Linked DNA regions of Caenorhabditis elegans. The protein of the gene in region 2 interacts with the protein of the main gene of each other region in a biochemical or structural test. Each region holds a gene or a part of one and is shown on either strand. Other genes may lie near its edges.

Region 1 (3,760 bases), 8.4 Mb from region 2:
TGCACGACTCTTTGAATACGTTAAGCTCCTTCTTTATATCATGCATTCGTTGCGACTCGGTTTGAACTTGAGAAGCCAGCTCGCGAGATTTCGCCGCCTGCTCATCAGTTTGCTCGCCTTTATCTTGCTCAGTCTGCTCGTCAAGCTTCTCAAGAACGTATTGCTGTGTGAGCATGATCTCATCGCGAAGAAAGCCTGACGATTGGTCATCAACTGGTGTCTCAATAAGTGCTTCAGTGGGAGCGTCAACCCAAATTGTGAAGTTATCCATTGCCAGAAACCTGAAAATAAATATTTATAAGCATTTTCGGCAAAAATTTATATTAAAAATTGGAAAAATCGAAGAAAAAAGATTGAAAAATGAAGAAAAAAACTTTGTAAAACGGTTTAAAATTTAAAGAATAATTTTTAAAATATTTTTTTTAATATGAGCGGAGGCCGCAAACACCGCGGCGCAAATTTGCAGATTGCCTACAGTAACTTGAGATTTTGTCAATGGAGCGCGTTTTGTTGCAGCTATTTTTTTCAAGATTATATGGTTTTTTTGCTGTAAAACATGACAAAAACTGCAGAAAACTTCGTAAAATTCAGGAAAAAAAGACGGAAAATTGAACAAAAAATCAGCGCTGATTTTGAATTGGTTGTGCTCCTTTGTGATTTCGAACATTAGCTTTTCATTGAAAATATAATTATTTATTGAAAAAAGTCCGTAAGTAAATATTTAAAATTGTCGTGTCAAGACCCTGTGTCCAGCTCCTCGAAATACAAGTAATATGATTTATTGTTTAATTGTGAATTTGAAAAAAAACATAAAAAGACGAATGTTACACGCATTGGAAATCCAAAAAAAAATATTCACACATTTCTATAAGTAGATTATTCATGTTTCACTTGAGATCATCAGAAATATCACTTTTCGAACTATTCGACAGATCACTCAACGAAGTATCATCATCATCATTGTAATCGTACACGGTGATCGGATCAGTATATCGTGGAGCCATTGGTCCAACAGGTCCCATTTGGCTGAACGGGGAAGGTGCTGGAGCAGCAGCAGAAGGAGCCGGTGGGAATGGTGCAGAAGTAGAGGGTAATGCGGTGAAGTTGAACGAGTGTGTGAATTGAAGAGCCGGAGGTTGTAGTTGGAATGGTTGAAGAGTTGAAGCTGTCGCCGGTCCAAAGTAGAAATTGCTGTTGAATGGCTGAAAATTTTTATTTATTTCCGAGACGTGAAATTTTGTGATTTTTTAAAATTTTTGTTAAATTTGAAAAGGTGTGCGCCTTTAAAGATTACTGTAGTTTTACGGAAAATGGGAATTTTATTTTAGATTTTTAAAAATTTATTCGGAACACTATGAAAAATCGATGAAGAAATTTTGAAAATACAGTAATCCTTAAAGGCGCATACTTGTTTTGCACTTTACAACAATTTTCGTGTCGAGACCGGCTACCGTAGGGGTTTAAGCCAAGAAATGCAGGATCTTCTGAAAACAAATGCACACTTCTCCACGAGGAGTACACGGGCCGCGTAAATCGACAGAACTGCTCTGACAATTTTTGGAATTTGAATTACCGCGAACTTGGCGCTAAGACACGCCCATTTTTCCGTGCCGTACTTTTGTAATTTTTTGAATTTCGAAGGAAATTCGTATTTTTCATCCATTTTTTTTTAATTGTGACACTTTTCATGTAGATTTTTACTCGGAGAAGGTATTTTTTTGTATTTTTGACGTTTTTTAGGAAAAAAAATTTGAAAATACGCAAAATTCCCTCTCCGAGTGGAAAATAACATGAAAAGTGTATTTTTAAGAATTTAAAATTTCTTCAACATCAAAAACGCAAAAAAAAATCGGCAAAGAAAGACAAATTTGCGTCGAAATCGAAAAAAAACCAACAGTGCCGCACAGAAAAATGGGCGTGGTTTCACGCAGTTTTTGTACCCCTCTAGGAGAAGTGTGCAGTTTTTTTTTGCTGGAATTCTTAATTTTAGTCCGTTTTTGCTAATTTTTAGCATTCAAATTTGCTAAAATTCTTGCTGAAAATCGCAAAATTTCGCTGAAAATCGCTAAATGTATAGTTTTTTAATCATAAAATACAATTTTTGACGATTTAATGCCAAAATTTGCGAAAATAGTCCAATTTCACTGCAAATTTTTACCTGAAAAACTGGCACCGAATTCTTCTTTTCCATCTCCAACTGCTCACATCTCTTCTCAAGCTTCTCACATTTGCTCCGATACTTTTCCATTTCCTTCTTAAATTGATCTCGTTCTCGGCGAAGCTTCTCCACATCCGACACGCTCGGCATATTTAAATTGAAATTTTCCATAGCATTATGCACATAATTTTCCCGTTCAATTCGCTCAGCAACTCGCTTTCTTTTCCGTTTTTCTTGTCGCCGAGACTCTTCGTGTTCCCATTTTTGTAGTGTAAATTGGGTGAACTCGTAAATCGAATCTTCACTTGGATATTGATTTTCTGGACTAGAACGATCGAGGTGAACTCGTCGCCTTTTGAGATTTGGTTGATCAAATGTCGCGTCAAGGTCGAGAGTTTCATCGTGATGAAGTTTTGGAGTTGTTGTAGTTGGTGGTGGTGGTGGAACAGGAGGTTCAGATTCAGTAAATCTATAGGGTTTTGGTGATGGACCGGGTTGTAGCTGAAAAATATTTGATTTTTTAAAAAAATTGGGTTTTTTATTTTAAAAAATTGAAAATTTCAGGTTGTTTTTTATGAGAAAATACAATTTTTCAGATTTTACAGAAAAATTTAAAAAAAAACATTTTTTTGGCTTTTTGGATTTGTATCGCGCTTTTGAATTGAAAAAAAAGGCATTTTTCTGATTTTTTATTGGAAAACTCGAATTTTTTTTGGTATATTTTTGTTGTAATGGAATTTTTCTGACTATTAACCATTTTTCTTGTCTTTTTATCGGGAAATTTGAATATTTCTCGATTTTTACATGATCAACTGGAATTTTTAAAGTTATTTCATTGGAAAACCCGGTTTTTCTGGATTTTTTCGTTGAAAAATCTAGATTTTCCGTTTTTTTTTGTTAAAAAATTGAATTTTATTCTGAAATTGGCTTTTTTTGTGTTTTCAGCGGAAAATATGGATTTTAATAGATTTTTAACTGGAAAATTCGAATTTTCCTTGTGTTTTCATTGAAGAAAATCAAAAATTTTCCGCTTTTTAGTGGAAAAACCGGATTTTTCTAGATTTTTCTTATTAAAACTGAACATTTTCTGGATTCTTCCGTGAAAAATCAGGATTTTAAGGTTTTTTGAGGAAAACAAAGAATTTTCTTGAAAAAGTCAATATTTTCTGGTTTTATAGAGGGAAAATCAGAAATTTTCCGCTTTTTTATCGGAAAATTCGAATATTTCTTGATTTTTACATGATAAACTGGAATTTTTTAAAGTTATTTTATTGGAAAACCTGGTTTTTCTGGTTTCTTGTTTAAAAAAAAAGAATTTTTCTCGGAAATTTGCCGATTTTTTTTGGATTTTCAACGGAAAATAGGGATTTCAATAGATTTTTAACTGGAAAATTCGAATTTTCCTTGTTTTTATTGGAAAAAATCAGAAATTTTCGGGTTTTTAATAAGCAAACGCTAAATTTGGCGAATATTTCAAACAAAAAGCCAGTTTCCGGCTGCTGGGAGGTGACAAAAAGGAGATTTTCGCAAAATTCAATAATTTTTATTAACAAATTCGCCCTTACCTCTGCATAATCATCATCGTCGTCGAAGAGCTCTTCT
Region 2 (2,950 bases):
CGGCCATTCAAAGATGGTGATACTTTCCATTCACCTGAAAATGTAGAGAAAATGAAAGCCGGCACACCACTGAATGATTCTGATAGACTTCCATGGCTTCAAGCTATTAACAACTACGCAAGACTCAATCAAGGATACGTTATCGCTTGTTCTGCGCTTAAAAGACGTTATAGATCCATTCTTTGTGAACATCTTCCCAATGGAGCCAGCGGAAGAGCTGTTTTCATTCTGTTGAATTTAAAAAGGCAAGTAATGTTCAGCGCGCAAAAAAATGTGGTGAAAGAAATGGGCAGAAAAGTGAAAATGGACAACAAACAACTCAAATTCGCACTCGCTTCCGTCCGCTCGTTTTCCCACTTTCACACATTTTCACGCATTCATCGTTTCATTTTTTGCAGGGAAGTTCTTCAGCAACGCGTGAATTCCCGTCCCGGACACTTCATGCCATCTACTTTACTTGATAGTCAGCTGGCTACACTTGAACTTCCGAGTCCCGATGAATCAAATATCGTCACTGTTGATGCGAATAGTGAAAATGTGGATCAAATTGTTGATACAATTGTAAAGACTCTGGCATTGATTTGTGAATGATTCTAGAAATCTAAATAATATAAATAAATTTAATAATTTGTCATAACTGACAAGACAACCAACACAATAAACATTAAACAATAAATAAATACTAAACAAAACAATCTAAAATTAATCCACGTCTCTACTGTGCACGAGATAATTCAAAGGAACCATCGCTTTCTTTTCAGGATCGCGAGAAAGCGACTTCCGCATATCAAAAGCATCTTCGTCCCTATCTCCAGTGTAGTATCCAATAATTTGCCGGTAGACGACATATCCAAGCTTCTTATACAATTCGATGGCGATCTTGTTCGAAACACGAACAAACAGATCGACGAAATATGCTCTACGACTGAAAATTCTTAGATTTTAATAAAATATTAATTTGCCATCACTTACGCTTCAGAAGTACGTTCCAAGAACTCCATCATGTAGGCGGCTAGTCCCAATCGACGAAAATTTGGAGCCACAGAGAGAGCAGTTACATGTCCGTGCCAATTGGTGTCGCGTCCTTCGATTTTTCCCATGACTGAAAAATTAAACTATTTCACATTTATGTTTCATTTATTTTCAAACAAACCATAGGCCATAATTTCCCCGTTTGGATGTTCAGCAACTTGGTAATACTCCGGATAGTTCATCATATAGTGCAGGTAAAATTGGAAGCCATACTGCAAAAATAAATATATTTAAATTTTTTTTATTTACTGAGCAATTTACCGTTTCAGTGTTGATATCCAAGTTCACGTTATTGAACTTGAACATATCCATAACGTCGAATGGCCGGAGAGTTGTCATTTTTACTCGCAGTTCTGCAATATATTGCAATATTGAAGGGTAAATTTAAGTGTTATATTAATCACAAAGAAATTGCATTACTTGAGAGAGTTAACAAATTTTAAATTCGTTATTTGCAAACAAAATGGGAAAATAAATTTGGCGAACGCGGAAAAGAGTTGAAAAAGTGCTAAAACGAGGTGGCACTATTAAAAACGGTTCAAATAAATTTCGTAAAGGGCATAGCGCTGTGTTGTCAGAATTTAAATTATTTTTGCAGCTCGTTGATTTATTTTTAAGCATAAAACAAGCTATTATCAGGCTAATTAAGTTAAAAATTAATAAAAAAGAGTAAAATTCCAAATTAATTTGCAAATTCCTAAAGTACGCAAGTTTAGTGCGCGGTGTTTGCGGACTTGTCCACCGTAGTCCGTTGAAAAATTATCCTCTTTCGTTTTTTGTGTTTCAAAAAATAAATCGGTCAGGCGGTCAGGCGCTCCTCCTGACCGTCATCAAGTACAAACAAAACACTAACAGGAGAAAAAATCAATAAGTGACTAGCAGGGTGAGTATATTGTGTATACCTCTGCTTCTCTCTTCCACTTTTCTCTTTCTTTTAAAGAAATTCCAGTTTTTTTGCTTCCATTTTCACTTTCAAGTACACTATCTAATATACCTCATTTTGTATGCATTCAGGTGACTTGACTACTCGAATGGAAGCGGTTAACTAACAAAATATCAACATCATGCTAGGCTATTTTATGTAAGTTTAAATTTAGGCATTTTTCCACATTTTAAAACTTGATTTATTAAACGAAAATTTAATTTCAGTGTACTTATTCAACCGCTACTACTCTGTATCACAATTCTAGTCCTCTCAATTGTCATCTTCCTTCCAATACTGGTATATTTTCTTCCACGCTACACACAGTTCATCTTCTTTCTCAATTTCCGTTAGTTTTTCTTTTTTATCTTATCTTTTATCTTTGATCTATGTTACCTTGTTAAGGACGTCTGCCGAACACCGATTACAATGATTTGGCGTCGAACAACGTTAAATCAATCGGAAGATCTCTTCATTTGCCTGGAAAAAGTGGAAGGATTGGTGTTTGGCACATTCTGCCCAACAAATTGAGTTTAGAATGGAGAACAGAAGGAAAACATCCGACAGAGAGAGATTTTGACGATATGATGAGGGATTCAGAGAATCAGTAGGATTTTCAAAGAATGAATTCAAAAAAAATCAATAAATTTCAGAATTATCTTCTACGCTCATGGAAACTCGTTCGATCGCACATTCTACCATCGTGTGGAAATGTACAATTTGCTCAGTGATTGTAATTATCATGTCGTCTGTTTCGATTATCGAGGATATGGAGATTCAGAAGGAACACCAACCGAAAAAGGAATTGTTGAAGATACAAAAACAGTATACGAATGGCTGAAGGAGAATTGCGGGAAGACGCCTGTTATTGTATGGGGTCATTCGATGGGAACTGGGTGAGTTAAATTTATTATTTCACTGCAATCAGAAATTTTTAAACTCAATTTTTAAAGTACTGAGGATAATGCAAAAAAAAAATGCTGACTGATTTTGATA

The links. Proteins that work in one complex are often made in the same cells at the same time.
Region 1: of the proteins of natb-1 (region 2) and syp-1, one has a biochemical effect on the other in vitro, tested with the Caenorhabditis elegans proteins (one study listed by BioGRID).

What each region holds. Positions count from the first base shown.
Region 1 is NC_003283.11:16,402,274-16,406,033, reverse strand, and holds the start of syp-1 (uncharacterized protein), read right to left. Parts: upstream 1,761-3,760; 5' UTR 1,203-1,760; coding exon of another isoform or gene 888-1,202; 5' UTR 272-887; coding exon 1-271. Other genes in the region: F13A7.14 (BZIP domain-containing protein), read right to left, coding at 888-1,202, 2,159-2,659, 3,724-3,760.
Region 2 is NC_003283.11:7,982,047-7,984,996, forward strand, and holds natb-1 (N-alpha-acetyltransferase 20), read right to left. Parts: upstream 1,386-2,950; 5' UTR 1,372-1,385; coding exon 1,294-1,371; intron 1,245-1,293; coding exon 1,154-1,244; intron 1,103-1,153; coding exon 973-1,102; intron 926-972; coding exon 703-925; 3' UTR 611-702; downstream 1-610. Other genes in the region: F26D11.1 (Gluconokinase), read left to right, coding at 1-245, 399-591; abhd-12 (Serine aminopeptidase S33 domain-containing protein), read left to right, coding at 2,097-2,113, 2,182-2,303, 2,360-2,561, 2,608-2,850.